Linked DNA regions of Elephas maximus indicus. The protein of the gene in region 2 interacts with the protein of the main gene of each other region in a biochemical or structural test. Links are inferred from orthologs where the notes say so. Each region holds a gene or a part of one and is shown on either strand. Other genes may lie near its edges. The genes, in order: MAPK9, MAPT, tubulin alpha-4A chain and CDK2.

Region 1 (7,018 bases), on a different chromosome or scaffold from region 2:
ATGGCTGCTATGGGTCAGAATCGACTCGATGGCAATGGGTTTGGTTTTTTGGGTTTTACCACCAAATCAATAGAGTTAAAAGAAAAAAAAGTGCTTTCTGTTTTACCATATTCATCACGAAAACAGTTGGTTTGAGAATGTACTTACTCACAGTATTTGCTGCATCAAAACTTTTCTTTAACCAGATAATTAAGATGACTTTATTTTAAAGAGAAAAATATGAAATTTAAGTGTACCCTCTAACATTTATTTAGGGAACCAAACAAACACCTTTTAATCTGTCAACAAATTATTTAAAGTCATGGCACCTTAAAAATAAAATTCTCAGGCATATCAAAGCTCTCCAGAGAAGACTGCCAAAATACAATTATTTTTAACCCCTCGAGATCCTTTTGAAGGAAACAAACAAAATGGATAGAGGAAAACATCATCTAGATTGGATTTTGTTCTTACAGAATAACAAAGGCCAAAAGAGTGTGCTCAGAGCTGAAGGACCCAGGAAAGAACACTGGATCTGGGGGAGACCTGGGTTCAAATTTCACTTACCAGCTGCTCATCTGAAGCAGACTGCTCAAACTCTATAAGCCTCAGTTTCCTCGTCTGTAAAAATGGGTTTCATAGCTGTTACTCAAGGGCTCCTAACAATTAAGTGGGAGTACCTGGGCTGGTACCTGGCCTTAGGCTACCTTTCCAGTGAATCACAGCAACTTCCTCCTACACAGCCTGTCCTGGAGCATGACAATCCTATAGCCAAGCTGAATGAGGCTTATTATATTTTGCTTGGCTCATAGCAGTTTTTGGTTTGCTTGCTTGTTTTTAGTGTGTGTAATTAATTAACTACTGTCAGCATTTACACAAAAGAGCCCTGGTGGCGCAGTGGTTAAAGCAATTGACTGCTAACCAAAAAGTTCAGCTGTTCAAAACCACCAGTGGCTCTATGAGAGAAAAGATGTAGCAGTCTGCTTCCATAGGGATTTACAGCCTTGGAAACCCTATGGAATCACTGAGTCGGAATCAACTCGATGGCAGTAGGTTTAAGTTTGGGAGATATTTACAAAACCAGGAGAGTAAACACAAAAATCTGGAATTCTAGCTTCTTTTAAAAAATTGCTGGGTGGGGTTCTGGTAGTCCAGGGCCCCCACCACTCCGTGCTCTCTTACACCTGGCCTTGTGGCGGACTTCCAGCTCCATACTGGGCTAAAGCCTGACCCCCAACCTCGTCATACTTCCGTGCCTCTCCTTGCCTGGCAAACTTCTCAGCATCCTTCAAGGCCCAACCCCAACACCACCTGTTGCCTCCTCCACTATAGCAGTCATCATGCTGTCCTGGGACAAACTGTCTGCATGTCTGCTTTCCCTGCTGGGCTCTCTGGGGGAAGGGACCCTGTCGCCATCTCATTTGTGTCCCCAAGGCCTAGCACAAAACCTGACCTAGATAATCTAGAACTCCATAAATGTCTACTGAATGGAAGGAAGATGGAGCTAAAATATCACATGCTTTCATATCGACAGCTTGTTCCGACAGTTACCAAATAAAGAGGTCAAGAACATTAAAACGTTTCACAAAATGAGAACAAGCTTCCATCTGCTTATAGGTCTCACAAGTTAATCAGAAGTCACTAAATTAAAAGATAAACCAGAGGCAATAGGGAGGCAGGGTCATTCCTTAAAGCATCCATTCATTCATTCAACTGATATTACTAAGTACTTACTGTGTGCTTTCTAAGCAGTTGGGATAAAGCAGTGAGCAAATCAGACAACTACCTGTTTTCCTAGTGCTTACATCCTAGCAGGAGAAACAGAAAATAAACAGGCAGACAAACAGAACAGTTTCAAGCCAGAATATACCACTGGGAATAAAATTAAACAAAGGAGACAGAATGACTAAAGAAAGAAAGAGGGTGGTCAAGGAAGGCCTCACAGAAAACATACGACCAGAGATGTCCAGAGAAACGAACACCAAGGAGTCAGCTGTGTAAAGATCCAGAAGACAACTCCAAACACAAGAAACAGCAATTGCAAAGGTCTTGAGGTGTATGAGGCTTGGAATTTTCAAGGCAGGTGAGGTGAGTGGGATAGGAGCACACTGCTATGGATGGAAGGGACGGGAGAGGAGGTGGGCAGGGCCGCTCAGGCGCTGCCAGGGGCATTGAGTGTGCAATAACAAGGCACTGGAAGAGTGCAAGGGCTGGAGGCTGGGAGGGATGGGATTGTCCTGCCACTCACACCTGCAAGGGGCACCATCCTGCCCGATTTCCCACAAATGTGTACAAGGCTCACGCACTTTCACACACCGCCACAAACCTGACAACCACTCTGTACAAAAGTGTTGACAATTCGTCCTTTTCCCGATGGGTAAACTGAGGCATGGTGAGGGTCAGTGCCTTGGCCAAGGTCGCAGGGACCAGACCCGGAGCTCCTGAGCATCGCAGCACCGGTGTGTGTGCAGCTGCGCGCCCCGGAGTCAGGAGGGGTGGCACCCGCAGACCCCTTCCTGCGCCCCCACCCCCCACAACTCCTCACCCCCGGGCAGGTCTGTCGGGGCCAGGCCCGGAAGCCTGCCAACACCCGGGACTGCTAACAGCTGGGAGGAAGGGGGCGATTGCGGCAGCCTCTAGGGCAGGGGCGGCGGCCCGGACCGCCAGCTCCCCGCAGGCCCTGGCCCACCCCGCGGCCTGCATCCGGCAGCCCTGCGCCCACTCCGCAAAGCCCGGCCGCTAGCCCTCCCGCCGCCCCTTGCCGGAGGGGTCCGGACCAAGCAGCCCCCGCCGGGCCTAGCCTTCTCGCCACCCGCCGCGCTCACCTCGCCTCCCCGCCGCCGCGCCAAGGGGAGAGGGCGGGCGGGCAGACTGGCAGCGCTGCGCGCTGGCAGTTCCCGGATCCGCTGCCCCCGGGCTCGGCCGGCCGCCCCGCCCCGCTACGCCCAGCCGCCGCAGTGGGTGTGAGGGGCTCCGGGGCGCTTCGACCCTTCCGGTCGGGTTCCCTCCGCAGCCGCCGCCGCCGCGGCGCCTTTCCTGACTGACCGGAGGGCCAACCAATCAGCTCGCGGAAAGCCGGGCCGACGCGGCCAATTGCGCCAGGAGGCCCACCCGCTGCTGGGCGGTGCTGGCGAGGCGGCAGGTGGGGCGGCAGGCGGAGCCTGCGGCCGGGTCGGTTGCCTGAGGTCTCGGTTGGGGTATGGCGGGGCTCAGCGTCTCTGAGACCGTGCGCTTGCTCGGGCCACGCAGCCGCCGCATACAGACCTGCCTAGTGCGTACCATGGGCTGGAGGCGCAAGCATGACTCGGCCCGCCCCCCAAGCCCGGCAAGAAGGGCTCGGCACGACGACCGGACGCGGACCCGGGAGGCGGCGGAGAGGGTAGACAAAACCGAGATCCGGGCCGGAGGCGGACCTGGCTGGGGCGCCTCACCGCAGTGGGGCCGAGCAGGAGCCAGCCTCGGGGCTGCGGGTTCAGGCTCGCAGGGACCAGGCGTCCCGGAGGTGGACTGAGAGCCGGCCCGTTTCGGGGAGAACCCGGGCGAAGGCGAGGGGAGGCTGGGGCCGGGTCGCCCGGGAATCGGCGTGAAACGGCCCTGGGGGAAGTGGGAGGAGAGGCGCAGGGCCTTTCGACTACGCTGCTCACTGCAGCTGGGGGAGCTGCGCGCCTCAGTGAAGGGGCTTTTCGGGGATGCGGTCAGAATCCAGTTGTTGCAGGGGAGGCCCGAGGAGATGGAGAGCTTCTGTGTAGACAATCTCTCCCAGTTGATCAGCGACTGAGGGAAGGAGAGGATGGACTGGTGCGTCTGGTGGCAGGGCTGAAACGAACGGGGTCCAATCCCTCGGTCTTAGAGGAGAAGGGCAAAACCGTAAATGGAGGGTGTTAGTGCTGGTGGCGCAATGGTCAAAGCGCTTGGCTGCTAACCAAAAGGTAGACGGTTCCAACCCACCAGCTGCTCCGCGGGAGAAAAGACCTGAATATCTGTTCATGTAAAGATACAGCCTAGAAAGCCTTATGGGGTTCTGTCCTAGGGGGTCGCTATGAGTCGGAATTGGCTGGAGGGTACACAACGAGAGTGCTGAGGGCCCGCTAGTGACTGGGGTCTGTTGACACTGAGCTTTTGGGGCTTCTCCTGCAGCCCTCAAGGCCCTCGGGTCAGGTAACTGCCGGCTTAGTGTCTTAGAAGATGAGAGTTTATCTGGTGCTGTGGCTAAGTAAAGACGGAAGTGAAGCAAGGACGCTGAATGCGTTTAGAGAAAGCTTGAGGCCAATGGATGGGGTGTGAGTGGGGGGAGTTAGACTTTGGGGATGGGAAGAGTAGGAGATGGTGCTTGGCAAATGGTGACCTTGGAGAAGGAGCAACAGTCCTAGGATGCCAGGGTCCATGGAGTGACTAGGGGTAAGGGATAAGGTAGGAAGAAGAAGCAGGACCCCGTAGATGGGTGGTCAAGGGACTGAGAGGCATGGGTGGCAGAACTTGGGGAAGGCAGCAAGACTGACTAGGTATCAAGGGGACCCGAGTGCCGAGCAAGGCTGGTGGCACCACTAGGGTCTCAGAGGAGGGGTGGGGTAGAGGAAGGGATCGAGTCATGGTGTCCCCATTAGGCCACCCTCCCCCCCCACTATGGCCACCAAAGGGAGGTTTCTAAAACTAACTATAGCTCTTGAGTGTGGCCTTCAATGGAGGGCCCACCTAATGGGTTCCTGCTGATACTTCATTGACGCCTACCACCTGCTTCGGGCACCCTGACTTCATTTGCACTCCAGAAAACAGAGAATGAAAAATGCCACCATCAGGGATTTGGGGAAACTAGTAAAAGCCTGGCTGTCAGTTGTAATTCTACCAAGGAGCATTTGTGGAACCTTCTGGTCAGATTAGGAAGGGAGCACCAATTCCCAGACACATACTGTGCCCGATTTTACAACATCCACCTTTAAAATGCACCCTTTACCCTATGCAAAGTGAGTAACCAGCATAGCAAAACTACAATGAGATACCATCTCATTGTTAAAATAAATAAATGTTGGAGACCTTTCGAGGAGATTAGAACTCTTACGCACTGTGGGTGGGAATGTAAAGTGGCACAACTACTATGGAAAACGATGTAGTGCCTTCTTAAAAAGCTAGAAATACCATACAATTCAGCAATTCCATTCCTAGGAGTATTAAAAAAAAAAAAAAAGAAATAAGAGCTGTCACATGAGTAGACGTATGCACACCCATGTTCATCACAACACTATTCACAATGGCAAAAGGATGGAAACAGCTTAAGTGCCCATCAGTAGATGAATGGATACACAAATTATGGTACATACACACAATGGAATACTACGCAATGATAAAGAACAATGATGAATCTGTGAAACATCTCATGACGTGGATGAATCTGGAGGGTATGCTGAGTGAAATAAGTCAAACACAAAGACAAAATACTGTACACGATCACTGTTATAAAAACTCAAGAAAAGGTTTACACACAGAAAAAAACATTCTTTGATGGTTACGAGGGAGGGGAGGGATGAGGAGGACAAATCACTATATAGTAGAAAAGTGTCAGCTCTGGTGAAGGGAAAGACAACACACAATATAGGGGAAGTCAGCACAACTTGACCAAGGCAAAGTCGTAGAAGTTTCCTAGATACATCCAAACACCTTGAGGACTGAGTTGCTGGGGCTGAGGGCTGGGGACCAGAGTCTTGGGGGACACCTGGGTCAGTTGGCATAATACAGTTCGTAAAGAAAATGTTCTACATCCTACTTTCGTGTATAGCATCTGGGGTCTTAAAAGCTTGCAAGTAGATGTATCTATGATACATCTATTGGTCTCATCCTGTCCGTAGCAAAGGAGAATGAAGAAAACCAAAGACACAAGGAAAATAATTTGCCCAAAGGACTAAAGGACCACATGAACCACAGCCATCACTAGCCTGAGCCCAGAAGACCTAGATGGTGTCCTGCTACCACCACAGACCAATTCTGACAGGTATCACGATAGAGAGCCCCAGACAGAGGGGGAGAAAAATGTAGAACAGAGTTCAAATTCACAAAAAAAAACCAGATTTACTGGCTTGACAGAGACTGGAGGAACCGCTGAGACTATGGTCCTGGACACCCTGCTAACTCAGAACTGAAGGCACTCCCAAAGCCCGCTTTTCAGCCATTAGACAGGTCTATAAAACAACACACGTGAGGAACGTGTTTCTTAGTTCAATTAAATATATGAGACTTAGTTATGTAGTGCTGCTATAGTAGAAATACCTCAAGTGGATGGCTTTAGCAAACAAGTTTATTCTCTTACAGTCTAGTAGGCTTGAAGCCTTAATTCAGAGTGCCAGCTCCAGGGGAAGGCTTTTAGTCTTCCTCAGGGCTGGAGGGACGCCCTTGTCATCAATCTTCCCTTGGTCCAGGAGCTTCTCCAGGCAGGAACCCTGGGTCCAAAGGATGTGCTCCACTCCAGGTGCTGCTTTCTTGGTGGTATGAGGGCCCCCCTCCCGATCTGATTCTCTCTTTTAGACCCCAAAAAAGATTGACTCAAGATACAACCTAATCTTGTAGATTGAGTTCTGCCTTATTAACATGACTGCCTCTAATCCTGCCTTATTAACATCATGGAGGTAGGATTTACAACACAAAGGAAAATCACATCAGATGACAAAATGGTGAACAAGCACACAATACTGGGAATCATGGCCTAGCCAAGTTGACACAAATTTTGGGGGGACACAATTTAATCCATAATAGAGACCAAATGGGCAACTCCTCCCCAAAAGCAAGACGAGAAGGTAGGAAGGAGCAGGAAAACTGGACTAATGGACATGGGGAACCCAGGGTGGAAAGAGGGAGAGTGCTGTCACATTGCTGGGATTGCAACTGATGTCACAACAATATGTGTATAAGTTTTTGATTGGGAAACAATTGAGCTGTAAACTTTCACCTAAAGCACAATAAAATTAAAAAACAAAGAAACTAAAAAATCACTGCACACATAGTCACACTGAGTTTTCTCTAAGCCTCCTATTTATCCCAGAAACACTGTTTT
Region 2 (7,723 bases):
AGAGAAGCCCCGCCTACTAGGGGTCGGGGGCGGGGAGGTGGTGGCCCTTGTATCCGTGCCCGGACGTTTCCGGAGGCGCAGCAACCGGCCCAGCGTTTCAGCGTCCGTTTAAACGCTGCATCCCTCGAGATGCCCCGGTGAGGCCGTTCGTTAACGCGCTACAAATCGCCGGCCGAAGGACCACACTCTGGCCCCTAAGATTCCTCCATGAGCAGCCCCCGGGCCTTGCCGGCTGGAGTGCTTCATCAAACCAACACATTTCATAATGGAGCGAAATCTCAGACGCGTGGACCGCGCTTTGTTCCCGGCATTGGGCTAAGTGCGCTACTCCCCGCCAGTTCCTTTTCCCCCAACAGGCAGGAGGTGGCATCTCTCTGTCTGCGAGTCGCCACGGGGAGCCGTGGCCGCGGATCCCCTTTCCCAGGGCCGCGGCAGGACCCTTGCTCTGTCTGCACGAGAATTCCGCCCCCAGAGCTGCCTAGCCGGGGTCCTGGAGCCGCTCTTCGATCAGCCCGCCGAGGGCCCAGCTCTGCGGGGAGGCCTCGCAGCAGAGGGGCGGTCTGACCCCAGTGGGCTCTGGACTCCGATCCAAGCCATTCCCCGGGAATTCAGGTCAATCTGGGCGGCCACAGCGGACGATTCGGCCATCTACTTCGATCTGTGCCCCAGGCCAGTTTGCAGAGACAGAACCAACCAGAAACCGGGCAGGCCCGCCTCATCGCACGTGTAATCACTACGAGGGCGAGGCTGGGACTTGCTCGCAAGGGGTCCCCCGTCCCTGGTTTCAAGGGCACCAGTGAACCAGGGCTTTTATGCGAAAATCCCGCACGTTTCTAAAACGATAGTCACCAGAACGGCCATAATAATAATAAAAAGACTACAGGGACGCCTCTCTGGGTGGCTGAGGCCGCCAGTGGCCAATAAGGAAGAGCCGTGGACCCCACCGCGCCATCAAAGGGATGGGGGGCGTGGCCCCGGCCTCCCCAGATCCTCAATCTTCGCGGGTAAGGGGCGGAGAACGCCCCATGGCCCCTTCCCGGGTCGCGTGTGGTTTCCATGGCAACCCCCACGTAGCTCCCCACAGTCCACTCGGAAAAGATGGATGTGGCCGCAGCACCCCAGAGAACCTCAAGCTCCCCCCCCCACACACATCTGCTCCGGGAGAAGCAACAGGGAGTAGAGTGGAGACAGCCCCTGCCTGCGAGCCCCTGCATCCCGGGGGATGGGGTCGCCCGCACCTCTCACTGTGCAGCCTTTTGGGGAGCGAGCCCCGGGACGCTCCGGGTCTGGGGAGCGTGGTCCCCCTGTGGCCACTGGCGGGGTGCGCCAACACCTCGAATTCCACCTCCTCAGCTCAGCGGATGCCTCTGGGGCTTGGCTGGGCTCCGGGAGGGGGCCGCGCGAGGACATGCCCGTTTCATGCGTGCCCCTGAGGCTGTGACTCGGGTTCACCGATCCCGGCAGACACCGAGATTCAACAAATGGCTCTGAAATGCAGGGGCGAAAAAAAAAGAGGCAGGGAGGCCAGGGGACTTGGCGAAACACCCCCCATAAACTAAAAGTCTAAAATCCAGGGCTGGGAGCGCAGATCACGTAATCCCTCCAAACAAAGCAGCGAGACCCCGAGAAAGGTCCTGGGTGATCGCCCCCAGTGCTCACGCCCGCAGCGGATAAATGCCAAAATGTCAGCGCCGACTGCCTGCCCCCCCTTTAAATAGCAGTCTCCGCCCTGCTCCTCCGAGGCCCAGCCACCCAGCCTGGCTTGGTACCGTACGTGGTACGCCGCAAAAAGATGGCACCTCGCGTTCTGAGGGGAAAAAAGCGGGGGGTGGGTAGGAGGAGGCACAACCCACCCTCCTCCTCCTCTCCCACCCGGATCCACACCCTCTGCCGCAGTGAGGGGCGAACCCTGCGCGCCAGCCCAGCGCCTCCGGCAGGGAGCGCACACGCCAGCCGCCCCGCGCAGAGCGCAGAGAAAGGGGCCCGCCCCGAAATGCACCTGCAGCCCCCGCGCCCGGCTGCGCGCGGCTGCGGCTGTGCGCGCCCGCGGCTGCGCGCGCCCAGGAGCAGGGACCCGAGGCCGCCGAGTTTGTCCAATCGCAAAGCCGGGTGACCCCTGCCTTTCCGAGCCTCCACACTGAGATCCGCGAAGCTGCTCTTGTGTCGGTGCCAGGAGTGCACAGGGGGAAGGGCAGCTAAAGTGACAGCTCCTGGACCCCTCCCCATCTCTCCGATTCCACTCCCAGCCCCCAAATGTCCCCTGCGGTTTCTGAAGGAAGAAAAGGGGGAGGGGGCGGGCCTCCGCCTTAAATCAGGGGCAGAGAAACCCCATTGGAATCGCTTCTGGGGAGACGCAGGGAGGGGTAGTCAGGGAGTCATCTTTTCTAGAACCAGACCTGTACCTTCCTTAGGGCTGCTGGCAAACGGGAGCAGAGAAATCAGATTACAGGTTCGGTTTCGGGGGTCGTCATTGGATCCCCACCTCCACATACACAGACATACGCCCATTGCGGCAAAAGGTGGCGTTCAAGAGTGTAGAGCAGCCCCCTCCCCAGGCCACCGCCATCCGCGCCCCACCCTGCGGGCACAGCCTCGGCCCCCGCCCGCGTGAAGCCGGACGTGCGGACCCCTCCCTCCTCAGCGCACACACACACACACACACGCAGTCACACGCGCGCGTGCATCCTTTGCACGAGTTCCTTTCCAAGCCGCCCTAGCCCCAGCTCCAGAGCGCAGAGGGCTCAGGGAGGGGCCCCACCTCTGTCAACCACTGGTGCCCAGTGCACGAAGCCCATCTCTGCAGCGGAGGGCGAGGGGCGGCCGCGGGGGGATGCTGCGGGGCCGAGGGGTAGGCAGATTTCGGAGCCTCGGCGCTTACCTGCTGGTCGACAGAGGTCGAGGACCGGAGAGAAGGAGAAGGTGGCTGTGGTGGTGCTGCTGGTGCGGGAGTCAGTGGGTGGCGGTGACTGCGAGTGCGCGCGCGCGCCGGCGAGAGGGCGCGCTCCCGAGGCCGGCGGGCAGCGCAGGCGCGAGCAGCGGGAACGCGAGCTTCCCCAGGGGAGGGGCGGGCAGCTAGGCCTCTGCCGGCGTCTTTTCCTCCGGCCACTAGCGGGCGCGCGCCAGCGCCCCACCGCTCGGTCTTTCCCGGCCTCCTTGCTCAATCCTTAGGCGGCTTCCTTCCCCGGTCCTCGCCGTCGGCATGCCTAGGGCCGCGGCACTGACAGCCACGCGCACGCGCGCTCGGTGGCGCACGCGCACTCCCGGCCTCCCGCCGCTGGAGCCTTTGTCTTTTCTGACGGGTCTCGTCCCTCGGGCAGGAGGCTCGGCGACCCTTTTCGGTCGCTGCAAGGCGGGCTGCTGCGGGCCCAGACCTACTGCCGCCTTTCTTCCCGTCATCCCGGGGCGGTGTCCCATCTCAGTGGATGTCCCCATGGCTGGCTCCCCATTGAGTCCACTCCGGACCCCTCTCCAAGGCTTCCTCCAGGCTCGCCCTACTTGTCCCTGACCTGGTGATCCCGACCCTTCTTCCCGGGGTCTCCCGAAATGATCCCCTTGTCGGAGCTCAGTTTCCCTGGGCCCGTTTCCTCTCTGCTTGCTTTCCACCTTTTTTCTTATTGACCAAGTGAATATTTTCCCTTAACAAATCTTACTGGCTAATTCAGCATTACAGTTTTTTTTTTTTTAAATAATGAATTTATTGTGTATAAATTGACCCTAGAAAAAAATCTTAATTTAGACGACATTCGAATGGTGCTTATAACATTGCAGAGCCTTTTTTTATTTGTTGAAACACCCGTGTACTGTAAGTAGAGTTGAGATCTGAATTTCTAAGTACCTGTTGGAGATTCTCACCTGGATACACACATTCTCCCGGTAACCCAGGCCCCAGGCCCTAGCCTCTGACCTTACTTGGATTCCTTATCCCCTAAAATGTAATTAAGCCCTGGCAGTGAGAGACTTTCTATGTAGGGGGTCAGGGACAGCCATCTCCTCCTAGGGGGGTGGGAACTTATCTTGAAACTTTATTTGCATAGCTTACATTCTTTAAAAAAAAAAAAAATGTGTATCATAGATTAATATAAAAAGCAAGTCACTGAAAATGCTTTATTAACTCGGATTTAATTTTTCCAGTTGCTGTCGAGTCGATTCTTACTCATGGCAACTCCGTGTTTGTTAGAATAGAACTGTGGTCCTCAGGGTTTTCAATAGCTTATTTTTCAGAAGTAAATCACCAGGCCTTTCTTCCGTGGACTCTAACCTCCAACATTCAGTTAGCAGCTGAGCAGTAACCTTTGGCAGCACCCAGGGGCTCCATAGGTTTGATTAACATATTATTGGCAGCAATGGGGGATGATGATAGGTACAAGAGGCTAATTCCATAAGTCTTTGTAAGTGACGTTATTGCTGTTCTCCCACCATCCGAGCTGTTCTGGACATACAATTTGTTGTTGTTGTTAGGTGCCATTGAGTCAGTTCCAACTCACAGGAACCCTATGTACAACAGGACGAAACTGCCTGACCCTGCGCCATCTTCGCAATCCTTGCTATTTTTGAGCCCATTGTTGCAACCACTGTGTCAATCCATCTCTTTGAGGGTCTGCCTCTTTTTTGCTGACCCTCTACCAAGCATGATGTCCTTCTCCAGGGACTGGTCCCTCCTCATAACATGTCCTTCAAACCCTAGCTCATAGTTTACTAAATCCATCCCTAATGACCCCAACTGGAGGGGATAGTTCCAGCTTCTGGAAGGAGTTTATCAGAGTTACTCATCTCTCTGGAAGTGTCAGGAGGGGTAAAGGGGGGTGACTAATATCTATCAGATTAAGATTTTATTATTGTCCCCAATTGTTTCTTCTTTTGTAGGGGTTATACATCCCCAGCCATGACTGCATGATCTGCCTTGCCCCAGCTCTCAGCTCCTCTGTTGATACTTGGCTTGGCCCCGAGGTGGTCTTCGGCAACTACAACTAGTAGATGTGAGATACACATGATATATACTTATCCCCTCCGTCACTACAGTGGCATGAACCCTTAGGATTACTTCTTCAGCCTAGGTTCCAGAATGAAAACACGCCAGAAAGCGCGTATTACATGAACAAGAAATAAACATTTGTTGTGTAAGCTGCTGAGATTTTAGGCAGGTCTTCAAACCAGTTTGTTCCAGTTCAAACCCCTGCTGAGAATTTACATTTCCACCCCAGATATACTGAATCAGAATCTGCATTTAACAAGATCCCTGGGTGATTCTTACGTATAATAAATTTTGAGAACCACTGCTCTACTAGTGGTTCTCAGAATCAGTCCCTAACCAGCAACATTAGCATTGCCTGGGAACTTGTTAGAAATGCAAATTTTCAGCAGGGGTTCAAACTGGAATGAACCAGTTTGAAGCTTGATTTTTAGGTTTGTTTATTACACCAGCAAAGCTGACCAACTCAGGGATTAAATGAGATAATTATAGATATCTTGTTTCTTGTGGGCTTTCATTAAATGATAAATAGTAGTTATTATTTCATCATCATTATCAATGCTTTTGCTACACATTACTTCATTTCTTTACGTAAAATAAATGGTAGCAGCCAAATATTCCTCCCCATTCAAATTTCTCATTTTCTTTCCTCTAAAATTTAGTATAATTGAAAACTGACAGAGACCTGTGACATTGTGGTCCCCTGATACTGAATGATCACATTTGCCTAATACTAAATTGAGATAATGGATGCTAGAAACAATCTTAAGCAGATCTGTCATCTGTTTGTAATGTGGAGTTGAGTGTTGCTTGCAGATAATTTAATCACTGTTGGTAGCTAATGCTTCACTAATTCAGGCCAAGAAAACGCATCCATACTCTCAACCCTCTCCCTTGCTGAAATAGAAATCTCCTGGCCACATGGAGCACACCCTGCCCGCATATAGAGAGCCATGGAAGGCAGAATGGCGTAGAGGAAAGAGAACTGGATTAGGTCTCAGGAGAGTTGGATCCTAATCTTAGCCATTTTGTCTGACCTTCGACAAATTCATTAACTTTTCTGGGCTTCAGTGTTTTATGTAATGGTGTCCTAGGTGGGGTTAGATCTGAGATACAGATACCTGTAGAATTAGGAAACTCTGCCATCAGATCTAATCGCATACTACATTAGTCACAGTAAACTAAGCTATTGTAACAAATAGACTCCAGAATGTAATGGCTCACTCAGGTAACAGATATCACTGGGCTAAAATCAACTGGGATTGTTAAGGGACAGGTACGTCAATCCTAGCCTGAGAATGTATATTAGTTTTATCACTGATATGAAAAATTACCACAAACTTTATGGCTTAAAACAATGCAAATGTACAGTTCTGGAGACCAGAGGTCCAAAATGAGTCTTATGGGACTAAAACATGGCATGTTGACAGAACTTTATTCTTTCTAGAGGCTCCAGGGGAGAATCCATGTCCTTGCCTTTTCCAGCCTCTAGGGGCTACCTGTATTCCTTGGTGTGCGGCTTCCAGCCAGCAATCGAATTATTCAGACCTCAGCTTCTGTCCTCAAATCTCTTTCTTGGACTCTCTTCTCTCCTTTCACCCATAGGGACTCTCGTGATTACATTGGACCCACCTGGATAATCCAGGGTAATCACTCCATCTCAAGATCCTGAATTTAATCACTTTGGCAAAGTCCGTTTGCCATGTAAAATAGCATATGCATAGGTTCCACGGATTGGGATGTGTGGACATCTTGGTGGGGAGGGCATTATTCTGCCTACCACAGAAGGACATGGTGATCATAACCAGAACTGAGATCCCCCAGAGAAGATGGCCTGGGTCATGCTGTCAGGTAAGCCCTTAGACCAGTAGAGGTGAAAGCTGAGGGTGAGAAGAACCTGGAATGGATAATAGGGGAGAGAGATGATGAGTATCAGTGATGGTCCCAAGACCTGTTACAGCTGTGGGGGTCAAAGGTTAATAAGGAGAACAAATTGTCCTCTTCTAAGGTTCCCCCAAGAAGAGAGGCCCACTGAAATCCTGAAAAATCTGATTCCTGAATGTGTATGCAAAAGTGGATCTGAGCAGTGCAAGGGGTGGGCTGTGATAGATATGAAGATATACCACCTAGAGGCCCCTTTAAGGAAGGACTTTTTGCCCCAGCTCCTGGTTGTGCCTTCAGCTGTCATAGCCTTCAAAAATTGCCTCAGCTGCAGAGTACCCCACATCTAGTGACTGACCTGGTGGGGTTATACAGGCTTAATATGGGACAACTCTGATGGCCCATTTTGGCTCCAGAGAATCCTGTGGGGTCAACAGAGGCTGCTGTTGGGCCTGAGTCCAGCTTGACTTCTCCTTCTTCCCAATTCTGCCTTTTTTCCCCCTCCACGTGTATTGATCCCAAGGGCACTCCCTAATAAATATCCTACAAGCTAAACTCTGTCCCAAAATCTGCTTCCCAGAGAACCCAGACTGCTCTTTCATTAATGCATTAAATAACAAAATCTAAAAGCGGGTTAATAACGTTTTTACTTTCAAAGTGGCAGGAATCATAGCTGATATTTTGAGATATCTGTAACACATGTACTATGATATGAAAATATGTATTGATGACAAAGTCACAGGTATGTACTGTTACTATTACATTCATCACTGAAATACTAAATTCTAATAGAGGTTGTAAAGATAAAGATGAGTGTTTTCCTCTCTAAGTTCGTGGACCCTCAACCTTAGAACCCTTAGGTTTTGTTTTCCC
Region 3 (7,678 bases), on a different chromosome or scaffold from region 2:
CCAGGTTGCGGCGGCAGATGTCATAGATGGCCTCGTTGTCCACCATGAAGGCACAATCTGAGTGCTCCAGGGTGGTGTGGGTGGTCAGGATGGAGTTGTAGGGCTCGACCACGGCTGTGGACACCTGAGGGGCCGGGTAGATGGAGAACTCCAGCTTGGACTTCTTGCCATAGTCAACAGAGAGCCGCTCCATCAGCAGCGAGGTGAAGCCGGAGCCGGTACCCCCTCCAAAGCTGTGGAACACCAGGAAGCCCTGAAGTCCTGTGCATTGGTCAGACTGAAAGACAAGAATGAGAAAGAGCAATGTAGGTACCAGGGAGGGGTCTGAGGAACTCTTTGGGCTTCACAAAAGCCTAACATATTTCAAGAGTCAAGGCCAAGACTACTGAGCATCCCACAGCTGCAGTGTCATGCCCTAGGATATGCACAATTAAGAGCTGACCTCCTGAAATGGATCTGAAAACAGTGTTCCTGACCATTCACATAGTCTCAGAAGCTCCCTCCCTCCCAGATTCTTACCAGCTTGCGGATCCGGTCCAGCACCGGGTCGATGATCTCCTTGCCAATGGTATAGTGACCACGGGCATAGTTGTTAGCGGCATCTTCTTTCCCAGTGATGAGCTGCTCTGGATGGAAGAGCTGTCGGTATGGGCCATTTCGGATCTCATCTGGAAGGGCATAAACCACATGGTTAGGGCAAAAACCATAAGGCTGTGCTCAGCAGAGACCTCCCTCCTGCAGCATGGTAGCTGTGGTCGGATGTATGAAAGAACTTGTCCTTCTGCCAGACTTGAGATAGCAGAGCGGGAGAGGAACCCAGACCTGCTGCCCAAGCCAGCCTGAGATCAGCTTGCCTTTTTCAGCTTCAAAGAGGGCTACGAAAGCCAGGTCTAGACACCCTCTTTTCAGAGAGAAGGTCAGAGCCACCCTCAAATTCCTCCACCCCCCCCCCATTCCTGCCCCTCTTCCTCTCACCAATTACAGTGGGCTCCAAATCAACAAAAACTGCCCGGGGCACATGTTTTCCAGCGCCGGTTTCACAGAAGAAGGTAGTGAAGGAGTCATCCCCTCCACCAATGGTCTTGTCACTAGGCATCTGGCCATCAGGCTGAATCCCATGTTCTAGACAGTAGAGCTCCCAGCAGGCATTGCCCATCTGGACACCTGCCTGCCCCACATGGACTGAGATGCATTCACGCTGAGGGATAAAGAGGGGACACAACATAAGTCCCACACCCACAATTCCTCACCTCATAAGCCTCCCTCCTACCAGCTAGGATGACTTAGTTGGCAAGAGTGGGGGCTTTGGGCTGGGCAATGGTCAGAAGAGGCTGGCAGCCCGTCCAGGCTCCCCCACCTTAAGTCTCCTGCACTGAAGGCACCCAGAAGGGCAGGCCAGCCCCTTTGCCTCCTTCTCAGTGGGGAACTTGTCAAGCAAGAGCTTTGGCTCTACATGACCCCGCCACATTCACAGGACACTCAGGGAGGACGCAGAGGGCAAGGCATACATTGCAGTAACCGAGACATGAGACTTCTCAGCCTGATCCCTACTGCCCAAAACGCCAGCTTCGCAAGAGCCTGCAAAGGCGCAGAAGGTTCACCGGAGCTGAGTTTATAGCTAGAGGCCCCCCACCTGATTAATTCTTTCCTTTGAGGATGAACAACTCGAATTTCATACAGTCCTCTCCCCTCTTCTTTACTGTGGGCTGCAGAGGTGTCTTCAGCTTCCAGTTGGCATCAACTGACCATAATGGATATCCCCTTCCCCCACCTTTAAGTCCCATCTGGCTCTGGGGATCAACCCATCTGGCTCCTCTCCCCACCTCCATCCCCGCACTCTGGGCTTCTTCACCACCTTCATCCACCGCGTCAGCCCACACAGAAATAGCAACAATAAAACTAGTGGGCACAGAGGGCAGGGCGGGCAATAGGGGCTAGGGACACAGGGACACTCGTTGCCTTAGGCTCCATCCCTGTCAGTCTGGTTAATCTCTGAAGCGCCAGAGCAGTACGTGATCCGCGCAGGGCCCGCGTAACCTCCCTTTCCAACCCCGAAATGGCGGGGTGACGGTTACCCAATACCCAGAAAAGGAAGCAGAACCTGCGGTAAGGCCCCAGAGGTAACCGACTTTGCCCCGGGGGGCGAGCTCCATCCTGCTCCCCGGCCCTGCATCTGCCCTCCCTCTAGATTCTTTCCAGTTACTTCCCAGACCTGGGGTTTAATTTCGGCCTCCGCTCCTGGGCTATAAATACCACCCCCCCACACACACACCCACAGACCTCTTTCCCCTCCCCCCGCCTGGCCCCGGCCGCGCTCTCGTTCAGCGCCAGCTGTCTCTGCCCGTCGGCGCACCGGGCTTCGGCTGGAGAGGCTAGCTCCGCTCCCGAAGCCGAAGCCCATTCCCGCCACCCCTCTAGGCTCAGAAGTGGGGTGCTGAGTCACTGGGGGGCACGGTAGATAGGGGGGATGCACACACAATCAGAGGAAAAGGGGGCGCGGAACCAAGTAATCTGACCTCCTTCCACCTACTTGGGCCAAGCACGTGTTCAGTCTGTTCCAGGAGCGGGGGTGGGAGAATGGGGTGCTGGGCAGCCAAGCGGGTCTTTCCCAGACCTTGCACGGGCCCGCGTGACTACCCGCAGGAAGGTTAGGGCACAAGTGCTTGGTGGGGCAGGGGCAGGTGGCCAGGAGGGCTCCTCTCTGTTAATGAAGAATGCCACCCTACCCGATTACCCATTCCCAGGTTCCCAAGGTGGACGCCACGGTTCCGCCAAAGTCACCAGGCAGGGGTTAGGGGGATGCAAAAATCCTCGCACTTTCTCGAGACCTGGAACGCCCGCTGGAAGGTCCCGGGAGCAGGGGGGTCCCCCGAAGGAGAGGGGAAACCGGGGACCCCCGCGCTGCCTGCAGGGCCGCACTCACCATGGTGAGTCCGGGCGGTGCGTCTCACGTAGAGTCGGGGTGACGGGTCTCGGTGAGAACTGCGTTAGCTGCAGTGCCGCACCGCTCTTATAGGCGGGGGCAGGGCCCGCGCGCTCGACCCGCCCGCCGGGGGCTGGGTGGCCCAGAGCCACGCCCCCTCCGAGGGGTGGGCGGCCGCGAGGGGTGAGGCCGGGCGGGATCCCTCCCCAGCTGCGTCGAGTCCCTCACCTGCAGGACTTGGGCTAGGAATAGACGCCGTGGCTTTAACCCTGCGCTTCCGGTTTTGAGCTAACACTCGGGGCCCCCGAGCTCCGTGGCAGGGACGCAGGGCGCGGTGCCAGGGCTCCTCTCGCCTGCACCCGCGTTATGGGGGCGCCGGTCGCCCAGGTGTGCAGACTTAGGCCGGATGGCGTCAAGGCCGTCCTCCCGACGTGGCTGCAGCCGTCCTTCGTCCAAACCTTCCCCGCCCCGCCTCCGGGGCAGCTCGGGCAAGCTGCCCAGCTCCGGCCCGGCCCTGGGAGCCCCCTTCCAGCGTCACGCCGCCTGCTGGTCCCCAGCCGGTACCCCTGGCCTTCGCTGACGCCCGTGAGCTGTCGAGGCCTGGGAGCTGCACAGCCTGAGCCCCATGGTGCTGGTCCCTTAGTCTCTCCGGCAGAGCCGAGCCCCCCCCCCCCCCGCCTACCTGCCAGGGCTGACCCCGGGAATCTGAGCGGGTCGCCGGCCTCCCGCCCCGTCAGGGGCCGTCATCAACGCCGTCACTATTAGTTAGCTAAGGCCATCGCTGCCTGCCCACCTTCCTGCCGCCAGAGCGCAGAACCTGGAACCCTCAGGACCTGGATTCGCATCCACACTGCCCTGTGGGGCCTTGGGCAGATGACACCTCACTGCATCCTTGGCATCTACATTGATAAATAGAAGAAAATCATTCTGCCCTGGAGGCATTGTTGTGAGGTATCAGAAGGCTCGGTGACTCTGAAGAGGGAAAAAGAAAATGGAGATTCTGGTGTCATGGCTGATTTTTACTTTCCCATCCTCTTCTGTCTCTACGTCGCTGACATGACCTGAGCCAGCAGCTTAACGTCCTCATCGGTGAGACAGAAGCCATAACATCTTTCTACATTTCATTTCCGTTTCTTGCAAAAACAGACTTTTTCAAGCTATTTCTCCGTTCCCTTGGTTGCTTTACATTTTCTGTCTCCCTCCGCTGGGGAAATTGGCCAGGCAGCTCTTCCATGTGCTCCTCGTTGTTGTTGTTAGGTGCCATCGAGTCTGTTCCAACTCATAGGGACCCTGTGCACAACAGAGTGAGACACTGCCCGGTTCTGCAATTGTTGCTATGCTCACAGTTGTTGCTATGCTTGAGTCCCATTGTTGCAGCCATTATGTCAATCCATCTAGCTGAGGGTCTTCCTCTTTTTCGCTGACCCTCTATTGTTACCAAGCATGATGATCTTCTGCAGGGACTAATCCCTTCTGTTAACATGTACAAAGTATGTGAGACGTAGTCTCGCCATCCTTGCTTCTAAGGAGGATTCTTGTACTTCTTCCAAGACAGATTTGTTCATTCTTTTGGCAGCCCATGGTATAGTCAATATTCTTCGCCAACACCACAATTCAAAGGTGTCAATTCCTCTTCAGTCTTCCTTATTCATTGTCCAGCTTTTGCATGCATATGAAGTGATTGAAAACTCCGTGGCTTGGGTCAGGCTCATCTTAGTCCTCAAGGTGACATCTTTGCTTTTCAACACTTTAAAGAGGTCTTTTGCATCTGATTTTCCAATGCAATGCATCTTTTGATTTCTTGACTGCTGCTTCCATGACTGTTGATTGTGGATCCAAGTAAGATGAATCTTTTCTCCGTTTATCATGATGTTGCTTATTGGTCCAGTTGTGAGGATTTTTGTTTTCTTTATGTTGAGTTATAATCCATACTGAAAGCTGTGGTCTTTGACCTTCATCAGTAAGTGCTTCAATTCCTCTTCACTTTCAGCCAGCAAGGTGTGTCATCTGTGTAACACAGGTTATTAGTCTTTCTCCAATCCTGATGCCCCGTTCTTCTTCATATAGTCCAGCTTCTCGGATTATTTGTTCAGCATACAGATTGAATAGGTATGGTGAAAAGATACAACCCTGACGCACACTTCTCCTGACTTTAAACCACGTGCTCCTTGGCACTTCTTTAATAACTCTGTCTCCTGGGTTAGTCACCACTTGGGGAGGATTCACACCATCAAATGTCCCCTGGGCCAGTACAGTATAACACAATATGATACAATAACTAGTGGTGGCAACTTGCTATCAACAAAATAGCTGGAAAGGGATACAGTAAAATATGATGAGGTCTCTGTTCCCAATAAACTTGCCAATTGGTTGAGAGGACAAGACTCATTCATAAGAAGAAAACTGACAAGGCCCATTTGGGAAATAAGGTCATGGGTCTCTACAGAGGAAGGAGCCCTTGGTGACCACAGGACACATAGCCTCTTGCAGGTCTTCCTTGTGCCCCCTTATTCCCCCCATACCCCCACCTCTTGTTCCCCCTATACCCCCACCTCTAGCAGAATGAAGGTAGTAACAGACCTGAGCTGTCTTAGACAAAACCCTAGATCTCTTTTACCTTCAGGTTCTTCATTTGTAAAACTGGAATAACAACTTTGGGTTGTGAGGGCCAGATGAATTTAGGGAGGTGTAAACTTTGTTGTTGTTCGGTGCCATCAAGTCAATTTTTGACATAAAGTGACAAAGTAGAACTGCCCATAGGGTTTTCTAGGCTGTAATCTTTACTGCTGCAGAATGACCTTTCAGTTAGCAATCAAGTGCTTCACCATTGTGCACCCAGGGCTCCTCTCCTCTAAAGTAGACCTATTTAGTTAACTCAGCGCATTGTCATCAAGTCAGTTCCAACTCATAGCAACACTATAAAGTTTAGTGTAAACTTTAGGGAGGTATAAGTATACTGTGTCCCTGGGTGGTGCAAGCATTTAACGCACTCTGCTGCTAACCAAAAGGTTGGAGGTTCAAGTTCACCCAGAGACACCTCGGAAGAAAGGCCTGGAGATATACATCTGAAAAATCAGCCATTGAAAAACCCCATGGAGCATAGTCACCATGAGTTGGAACTACAGTAATGGCAACTGGTTTGGATTTTTTCTAAGTACACTGCAAAGCACTGGATAAGGGTCTTATTCATCTTTGTGTTCCCAGTTCCTAGTATGATGCTTAGTACATCGTAGGTCTTTGCTAAGTGTATGTCACATGAATAGTTTTACTACATGGTTGTTGTTGTTGGGCACCATCGAGTCAATTCTGACTCATAGCGACCCCATGCGACAGAGTAGAACTGCCCCATAGGATTTTCTTGGCTGTAATTCTTATGGAAGCAGATTGCCAGGTCTTTCTCCCACAGAGCCACTGTGAGGGTTCAAATCACCTACCTTACAGTTAGTGGCCTACTGCTTAACTGTTGCAATGCCAGGGATGGGACTAAAATTAGGGTAAAATCCAAAAACCAAACCCATTGCCTTTGAGCGCATTCCAACTCATAGCAACTCTACAGGACAGAGTAGAACTGCTCCTAGAGGGTTTCTAAGGCTCTAATCTTTACAGCAGCTGGTGGATTTGAACAACCGACCTTTTATTTAGCACCCTAGTGCTTAACCACTGTACCACCAGGGCTCCTTAAAATTAGGGTTCAAAAAACCCCATTTCCATTAAGTCAATTCTGACTCATAGTGACCCTATAGGACAGAGTAGAGCTACCCCACAAGGGCTTCTGAGGCTGTAATCTTTATGGAAGCCAACTACCACATCTTCCTCCTGCAGAGTGGCTGGTGAGTTCAAACCACCGACCTTTTGATTAGCAGCTGAGTGCTTAACCACTGTGCCACCAGCACTCCTTAAAATTAGGGTAGAACTCTAAAAATTTGGAAATTGCAAACTGGTGGCCTGGAGGCCAAATTTCCTCTCTGAAATGTTTTGTTTGGCCCTCCCACCATTAACCTCCATAGTATTTAGGCTATTAAAAAAGCAGAAACTATTACTCTGTCAGGCACCCCAAGACTATCTCGATGTTTGGAGATTCCCTGGAAGGAATCACCGACTCAGGGTACCATTGTACCCACAGCTAAAGTTTGCTGCAGTGATGTGGTAAGGACATACAACTGGATCATAAAGGGGAAAGACGCAGAAGGAATCTGGAGGGAATCTGTGCTCTCTCCCTCTCATAGGGCTCACACGAGTGCACTCTTCCTCCAGCAACGAAAATGCCATATTTTCCTGCAATGTTTCTGCCCAGAAAAACCCATTAGAGACTCAGTGCCCGTGGTTTTTATTGGGGACTAGTCCACAGAGGTTAAGCACTCGGCTGCTAACCAAAAGGTTGGTGGTTGGAACCCATCCAGTGGCTCCGCAGGACAAAGGCACTCTGCTCCTGTAAAGATTACAGCCTAGAAAACTGTATGGGGTGGCTCTACTCTGCCACATGGGACTGCAATGAGTTGAAATTGACGGCGCCTAACAACAGTCACGTAGGGGAGTGTCTGGGTGGTGCAAATGATTAATGCACTTGGCTGCTAACCAAAAGGTTAGGGGTTCAAACCCACCAGAGGTTCCTGGCAGTCTACTCCCCCAAAAATCAGCAATTGAAAACCCTATGTAGCACAGTTCCCACTCTTACACACATGGGGTTGCCATGGGTCAGAAGTGACTTGATTAGTCACACAGGCACCTCTGCCTAGCGTATACCAACATCCCAGA
Region 4 (7,973 bases), on a different chromosome or scaffold from region 2:
GTCATGATTTTAAAGGTGTCCCGTTATTCAGCTATCCTGATTTGGCATTATCTAAGCTCAGGTGGCCCCACAAGCCCCACAAGTGAATTCTGTGCATTCTCTAAGATCTCTTAGGGTATCAGAGATTCTTTCCACCTACTAAGACAGAGAAACAGCTGGCCAGATATTTTTAGTAATTTTGTGAATGCACTTGTTATCACCTCTGCAGAGCTCAGAGAAAAGCATAGAGGGACTCACCTCATGGGTGTAAGTACGAACAGGGACTCCAAACGCTCTGGCTAGTCCAAAGTCTGCTAACTTGATGGCCCCCTCTGCGTTGATAAGCAGATTCTGTGGTTTGAGGTCTCGGTGCAGAACTCGATGAGAATGGCAGAAAGCTAGCCCCTGGAGCAGCTGGAACAGATAGCTCTGACAAAGGGGAGAGAGAGAGAGAGAGAGAGAGGACTGAGTTTCTCCAACACAGGGAGCAGATTAGGGCTCTGTGCCCCCAAAGCTCTTACTCTATTGGATTAGAATTACATGTTTTTGTTGATTTTGTTTTTGTTGTGTTGTTGGTTTTTGACTCTGGAGAGACTCCATCTATTACAGAGTAGAACTGCTCCATAGGGTTTTCTTGGCTGTAACATTTATAGAAGCAGATCATTAGGCCATTTCTCGGTGCCACTGGGTAGGTTCGAACCACCAACCTTTTGGTTCCCAGCTGAGTGCAAATATTTGCACCACCCAGGGACCTTTGGGTTAGAATTACATGTAGCAAACTATTTCTCCCATTGGAGTGTAAGCCCAGTGAAGATAAAGACCAGGCTTTATTCAGTTTTGCATTGAAGGCATTCAATAAATATGCATTGAATAAAACCAAAAACCAAACCAGTTGCCATGAAGTCAATACCAGCTCATGGCAACCACATGTGTTTCAGAGTAGAACTGTACATAGGGTTTTCAAGGGCTATGATCTTTTGCAAGTAGATTGCCAGGCCTTTCTTCTGAGGCACGTCTTGGGTGATTCTAATCACCAACCTTTTCGTAAGTAGCCAAACTCTATACAGTGGCACCCAAGGACTCAGTACATTGAATAAACATTTGTAAAAAGATTAAAAGTTACTCAAGGAGTAAAGAATCCAGCCTTAAAACAGACAACAGACTCACTGGCTACTACTCCCACCAAGCAACAGGTGGAAAGGCTTTTTGAAGGAACCGACAAATGCCCTCAAATTTCATTCATCCAGAGTTTCCTCTGACCTCCCACCTGTGCTGCTAAGTTGACTCACTAGAATTTTAACTTCTTTGATCCTCCTGGAAACCCTGGTGGTGTAGTGGTTAAGTGCTACAGGTGCTAACCAAAGGTTCGGCAGTTGGAATCTGCCAGGCGCTCCTTGGAAACTCTATTGGGCAGTTCTACTCTGTCCTGTAGGGTCGCTATGAGTCGGAATCGACTGGACAGCACTGGACTTGGGCTTGATTCTCCTGCCCAGTCCTAGGGTTAGTGAACATAACGAGCAGAGAAAGAACCACAAAAGGTGTGTGTATGTGGGTGTGTGTGTGTAGGGGGAAAGATGAGGGCTGGGAAGGGAACCAAGATCACAAATCATCACTCAGTCTGAATTGCCTACCTCTGGTCCCCCCAAGACATGATCATCCTGGGGAGGAGTTGATGAGAAGTGTTACCTTGATGAGGGGAAGAGGTATGCCAGTGAGAGCAGAGGCATCCATGAATTTCTTGAGATCCTGGTGCAGAAACTCAAAAACCAGGTAGAGTTTGTTTTCTGTGTGGATGACATCCAGCAGCCTAGGGAAGGGAGGTCCGGAGTGGAGGTGAGAGAGAAATGCTCAGACTACACAGACAGAACTCATACCCCTTTGCTATCAGACCACTTCCCAGGTATACTTACTTGACAATATTAGGGTGGTTAAGCTCCTTAAGCAGAGAGATCTCTCGGATGGCAGTACTGGGTACACCCTCTGTTTCACTTGGAGGGGTTGGGAGAGCAGAGATGGGAATTTGGTTACAAATACTCCTTTTCTCCCAGGCCAGTCGTTTCTTTCCCCCAAAGGAAGCACGACCCAAGGACAGTGAGAAAATAGAAAGAGTGCTGAAGGAGTTAATTCCTGGGTGGAGCAGGGATTAGCTTTTGGACACATTAAGGTTATCATTTCCTCTTTTCCAAAGGTATTTAAGTGAGGCCACCTGGTGAAGGTGAAGCAGAGAGAAGGTAACAGAAAAAATGAGGGAGTAGCACCCAGCCTCCCCAGAGGGGCCAGTGAAGTTCAACTGCCATTCCTTTGAAATAGGTAAAGAATTCTAAGATGAGGGTGGGGTTGGGGCAGAGAGGAAGGCCCTTCATTCAGAAAGGTGCTCTTCACTAGTTTCCGAAAACCAACTCTAAGGGGAGTTCTGGACCCCAGCCCCAAGGCCTCCTTCCTCATCTTGAGTCTGTCACATTGCACGTTTGGGGGCATCACCCGGCTCAGTTTGGAGGGGAAGTTTTCCGTGGATTCTAACGCACACTATACTTTCCCTGGGGAAATTCTTTAGTCGGTCCCCCAACCCACCTTCCCACTTCAAAAAAAGTCCCTTCTTACTACCTTCCGGTCTCTGGACCACTGCCCGCCTGCGGAGGGGGGCACTCAAAAGAGCTCCTCAGTTAGGAGTCCCAGGTACAGAAGCCACTCACGTGTCCAAACGGATTTTCTTAAGCGCCACCACTTCTCCCGTCACCTTGTTTTTGGCTTTGTACACAACTCCGTACGTGCCCTCGCCGATCTTTTCCACCTTTTGGAAGTTCTCCATGAAGCGCTAGAGAGTCGGGTCAGCCCGGCCTTGGAGCGGGGGCCTGGGAACCCTGCAAAAGGCGGGCCCCGGCTCTGGAGGGCGGAAGAGGAAGAGACACCGCCGGGCACCGCGGCCCCAGGTCGGGATGGAACGCAGTGTATCTCCAGCTCTTGTCAATTTGTCCAACTTGAAACAATGTTGCCGTCGCCCCAGTTCCCGACCGCCACCAGAGGCCCCGCCCCTCCTTCCCGCGTTTCACTGGCTCCGCCCCCGGCCCTTCCTATTGGCGGACGTCAGAGCGGGGGTGACTAGCCGAGCGCCCGGAGCCCGTGGCCGCAAGTGACCCCACCCCTCGCAAGTTCGACTCCGAGGGCGTTAAGTTTCTGGCTTGTTTGGGCTGCCGATGGCGTTTTTCCAAGTACCTGATTTGGCCTCGAGTTTTCTGCCTGTTTCCCAAGTCTGTGGGGATTCCTTAATCACCCCTGGGGATAATGTATTTCGACCTAAGATTAAATTCCACTTGGCCCAAGGAGCTACCTTGGAAAATCAGAAAGCTGGGAATCTCACCGTCATTCTAAGGAATTCCTGCCCTCAGCCTACCCCGATACTGTCTCTCTCTGTGTTTGGATGCGAAGTCTCTTTCTGTCTTTTTAGGAGGTTCCTGGTTTGACTCAAACAACTGATTAATTCACTCTTCCATGATGAATTGTGTGTGCTCGGTATTTTTTATGTAGCTGCCTTTCAGTCAACTGGGGTGGGGGGGATGGAGTGTGTCAAGATGAGAGAGACCTAGTGAAAGGAGAAACTCATTGGATATGGAGATGGGAAGGGAGTGTCCAGGGGCCAGAAACCCGAGTCAATGCAGCCTCTCCCTAGTTCCCTCGTCCCTCCCCGGCTGAGAGGAGGAAGGGCTATGCAAATAAGCACCCCTTTCTTATAAAGGGATTGCCTCAGCCCCCTGGCACTTTGGAATGCTGGAGAGAAGGACAGGATGTATCTGGTGCCCAAGAGATGCCTTCTCCATGTGGCTGTGATGGGTGCTCTGCTGGCTGTGGGGGCCACAGAAGGTGAGCGTGGGGCAGCATCAACATGGGCGGGTGTGAATTTAGGGATGGACACCTACTCTGGTTTTTTGCCATGTGTAATTGGTAGTTGGTGGTTTTGAACCCACCCAGTGATGCCACGGAAGAAAGATCTGGCAAGTTGTTTCTGTAAAGATTGCAGCCAAGAAAATCTTATTGAGCACTTCTACTCTGTAACTCCTCTCCCAAAATAAATTAATTAATTTATTAAACCCAACTCATAGTGAACCTGCAAGGACAGAATACAACCGCCTCATAGGGTTTCCAAGGCTATAAATCTTTAGGGAAGCAGACTGCCACATCTTTCTCCCACAGAGTGGCTAGTGTCTTGGAACTACTGACCTTTCGGTTAGTAGCCAAGTGCTTTAACCACTGTGCCACCAGGGCTCCTTACTCTGTAACACATGGCATCGACTCGAATAAAACTTTTTTTTTTTTTTTTAATGGGAGAGACCAGCTCTTCCGGGCACTGCTTCAGGTTTCTCCCACCCACCTGATTAAGTGAGAGAACATGGGCACCTGAGCTCCTTCCCCACATGGAGGTTTGAGATTGAGCTTGAAAACAACCCCGTCTGCTTGCTGGGCAAAAGATAGTGGGTCTTTGTGGCCCTAGATCTGAGGCCCCCAGACAATGAGCTAGAGCTCCAAGGGGGTGAAATGGGTGGGAGAACCTTCTAGGTAATGTCTCAGGCACTTGAGGCGGGAGATTTAAAGTGGGGAGTAAGAGAATGTGGTATTGGATAAGAAGGCTAAGGTGGCATCACCTTCCCCCCTTGGGATGGGAGTGGGTGAACACGGTCCAGGCCTTTTGTTCTGGGGCAGGGAGAGACAGGCAGAGGGGTCTCAGCTGAGCATCACATGAAAGGGCTCTCCCAGGATTGAAGCCTCGTGACAGGAGCAAGGGGTGGGGTTAGATGTGGTGAGAGGGTCTGGAATGTCCCATGCTGCCCTAAGGAGAGAGGGTTAGGAATGGAGAAAGAATGGGGCATCTCATGACTCTTGCTGTAGCGGTGGGATGTTCAATGTGATAATTTTGGATCCTCTCCCAGAAGAATCAACTAGGTTTCCAGTACACAGCAGAAAAGGGGTGGGAATAGTTTCTGCCATGCTGAAATGTATACATTATGTTTCAGCCCCCATTTCTCTCTCTAGATCCCTAGGCTCATACACTTCTGGGAGGTTCTCTTTCATCTGACCTCCCTCATGTGTGCTACAGTCTCCACGTCCTTTTCTTTTATTATGTTCTCCAATGTATCCTTTTCTTGGAACATTCTGTTCATACTCACCCACCTGAGGCTCTTAAAAGATTGTGCTTACTTTTCAGATTCTGATTTAAAAAATGAGAAAATGGCATTTTAAAAATATTCATGACAATTTTATATGGACTGCACTTGATCATTTCATTTAGTTATCACGCTTATGCAAGAAAACATTCGTTATTTTTTACAGGTACATACTGAGTCTGTAGGTTTAAAATAACAAGATGCCTGGGATTTACTTTTAAATACTTTAGCCAAAAAAAGCACACAAGCAAAAATCAGATGTAGCAAACTGTTGATGGTTGTTGGATCTGGGTGAGGGCATGTGGAGGTCATTAGATCCTTTTTTTTCCGACCTCTCTCTTGATCAGTTAAAATAATTTTCTGTCTGCTCTGTCCCCACCCCTAACCTCCCCCTGATTCTGATTTATCCTGCTCACTGCTTGCTAGAGTGATCTTTAAAACACAAATCTGATCATGTTCAAAAACCTTCTGAAGGGTGAATTTTTTATGTCATATGTCTTAGTCATCTAGTGCTGCCATAGCAGAAAGACCACAAGTGGATGGCTTTAACAAAGAGAAATTTATTTTCTCACAGTCTAGTAGGTTACAAGTCCAAATTCAGGGCATCGGCTCCACAGGAAGGCTTTCTCTGTGGGCTCTGGAGGAAGGTCCTTGTCCTCAAACTTCACCTGGTGGAGGAGCTCCTCAGGCTCAGGGACCCAGTGTCCAAAGGACAGGACACGCTCTGCTCCTGGTGCTGCTTTCTTGGTGGTATGAGGTCCCCAACTCTCTGCTTGCTTCCCTTCCCTTTTATCTCTTGAGAGATAAAAGGTGGGGCAGTCCACACCTGAGGGAAACTCCCTTTACCTTGGATCAGGGAGGTGACCTGAGTAAGGATACTGTTACAATCCCACCTAATCCTCTCAACATAAAATTACAATCACAAAATGGAGGACAACCACACAATACTGGGAACCATGGCCTAACCAAGTTGGCACATATTTTTTGGGGACACAATTCAATCCATGACAGCATATGGATGAATTATATCTCAATTAAAAACAAACAGACAAGAAATGCCTTCTGAGGTGATCTTGCCCACACGTTAAAGACCAAAGTTCTTAGCCTGGCACTTAAGCCCCCAACCAGGCTTCTAACCTCATCTCTCACAGTGGTGCATCAGCCACATTGCTGTTCCCCTAACATGCCATGTGCTTCCATGCCTTCATGCGTTTACGCATTGCTGGTCCTTCTGCTGGAATGCTCTATCCCACAGCCCAAATGCCAACTCCTCATTGAAGCCTTTCCAAATCTGCCAGAGGGAGATTAATCTGTTTATCTGTCATTTCATTCTATTTTATGGGTGTTTGTTATGGTACATATTAAACAGTGCCTTGAATTATATAGCTATTTACGTATATGTCTATTTCCTGTACTTCACCTTAAATCCCTTCAGTGCCTCCCTCATTAAGCTGCAGCCTCAAGTCTTATTCATTTGTTAAGTTCTCTTTGCCTAGCACAGTGCCTGGTACATGGCAGGTACCCGGTAAATTAAAATGCACTTTTTGAGAATGAGTGGAGTGACATGGGATAGAATGTTATCCTCTGCGAGGGGGCTGAGTGAGGACCTGGTATCCTTAATGGTACACTCCTTTTAGGACCCAGAGACCAGGACTGGCCTGGTATCTCAAGGCAGGTCAGAAACAAAGCCTGGAACAGACAACTATATCCAGAGTGGACAGAAGTCCGGGGGTCTGACTGCTGGAGAGGTAGGAATTTGGCAGTTGTGTGGGGAGGGCATTGCGGGAGTGGGATGGGAAGAGAAGCAAGAACTGGATTGAATATAGCTTGGGAAGGTAGGAAGGGGAAAGGTGTACAGGGAGGGGCAGCTGAGAGTCCCAGCTAATGGAGCCTCCCTACTCAGGTGGCCAGGTGTCCCTGAAGGTCAGTAATGATGGGCCCACTCTGATTGGGGCAAATGCCTCCTTCTCTATTGCTCTGCACTTCCCTGAAAGCCAAAGAGTGCTGCTGGATGGCCAGGTCATCTGGGCCAACAATGCCACCATCAATGGTGAGTACCTCTCTATTTCAGGCCCTCATTTCTAGGGTTCACATTCCCTGGAATCCCCAGTGAACTCAGAGAATTATATGTATAATACATGTGTACCATAGTAGAACTAGAAAACACAGATAAACCAAAAAGAAAAAAGAATGCCATTGTCTGAGGGTTACTCTGTCTCTACCTCTCAGGGAGCCAGGTGTGGGAAGGACAACCAGTGTATCCCCAGGACCCTGATGATGCCTGCATCTTCCCTGATGGTGGACCCTGCCCATCTGGCCCATGGTCTCAGAGGAGAAGCTTTGTTTATGTCTGGAAGACCTGGGGTGAGGGACTCGCTTCTCTGGACTGTCTCCCATCTTGGATTCACCTTTTCCTACTTGATAGCCTTTATTTTTGACCTCACCCCTTAACCTCTGGTTTCCTCTAAGCTTTATTTCTTCCCTGGCTGCTTTCTCCTCCCTAGCATCTATCCCCCTAACTCTATCATAGTTCTTTCTGGGAGCCCTTCCCCATTTGTAGTACCACCCCATGGAACCCCTCCTTAGGACCTCTTCCTTGTCCCCAACATCACAGCCTCTAAAGTAACCATCCTCAACCCACCTCCTGACTTCCTTTCTCCAGTGTCCCTTCTCTAATTCTGCCCCTCACTCTCCTCTGGCCAATAACCTTTCCTATCCCTGCTTTTTCTCCCCAAAACCTCAGGCCAATACTGGCAAGTTCTGGGGGGCCCAGTGTCTGGGCTGAGCCTTGGCACAGGCAGGGCAGTGCTGGGCACACATACCATGGAAGTGACCGTC

Evidence for each region.
Region 1: of the proteins of MAPT (region 2) and MAPK9, one has a biochemical effect on the other in vitro, tested with the Homo sapiens proteins (2 studies listed by BioGRID). The link is inferred for Elephas maximus indicus from reciprocal best matches to the Homo sapiens genes MAPT and MAPK9.
Region 3: the proteins of MAPT (region 2) and tubulin alpha-4A chain are reported together in a solved structure, tested with the Homo sapiens proteins (2 studies listed by BioGRID, with this or other methods). The link is inferred for Elephas maximus indicus from reciprocal best matches to the Homo sapiens genes MAPT and TUBA4A.
Region 4: of the proteins of MAPT (region 2) and CDK2, one has a biochemical effect on the other in vitro, tested with the Homo sapiens proteins (2 studies listed by BioGRID). The link is inferred for Elephas maximus indicus from reciprocal best matches to the Homo sapiens genes MAPT and CDK2.

The regions. Positions count from the first base shown.
Region 1 is NC_064820.1:202,713,842-202,720,859, forward strand, and holds the start of MAPK9 (mitogen-activated protein kinase 9), read right to left. Parts: upstream 3,011-7,018; 5' UTR 2,805-3,010; intron 1-2,804. UniProt on the Homo sapiens protein: Serine/threonine-protein kinase involved in various processes such as cell proliferation, differentiation, migration, transformation and programmed cell death.
Region 2 is NC_064837.1:52,645,718-52,653,440, reverse strand, and holds the start of MAPT (microtubule-associated protein tau), read right to left. Parts: upstream 3,002-7,723; 5' UTR 2,879-3,001; intron 1-2,878. UniProt on the Homo sapiens protein: Promotes microtubule assembly and stability, and might be involved in the establishment and maintenance of neuronal polarity.
Region 3 is NC_064824.1:117,843,580-117,851,257, forward strand, and holds the start of tubulin alpha-4A chain, read right to left. Parts: upstream 3,007-7,678; 5' UTR 2,927-3,006; coding exon 2,924-2,926; intron 1,199-2,923; coding exon 976-1,198; intron 669-975; coding exon 520-668; intron 278-519; coding exon 1-277. UniProt on the Homo sapiens protein: Tubulin is the major constituent of microtubules, a cylinder consisting of laterally associated linear protofilaments composed of alpha- and beta-tubulin heterodimers.
Region 4 is NC_064822.1:115,940,243-115,948,215, reverse strand, and holds the start of CDK2 (cyclin-dependent kinase 2), read right to left. Parts: upstream 3,009-7,973; 5' UTR 2,789-3,008; coding exon 2,673-2,788; intron 1,968-2,672; coding exon 1,890-1,967; intron 1,787-1,889; coding exon 1,666-1,786; intron 409-1,665; coding exon 238-408; intron 1-237. Other genes in the region: melanocyte protein PMEL, read left to right, coding at 3,762-3,837, 6,773-6,883, 7,039-7,185, 7,365-7,499, 7,879-7,973. UniProt on the Homo sapiens protein: Serine/threonine-protein kinase involved in the control of the cell cycle; essential for meiosis, but dispensable for mitosis. Phosphorylates CABLES1, CTNNB1, CDK2AP2, ERCC6, NBN, USP37, p53/TP53, NPM1, CDK7, RB1, BRCA2, MYC, NPAT, EZH2.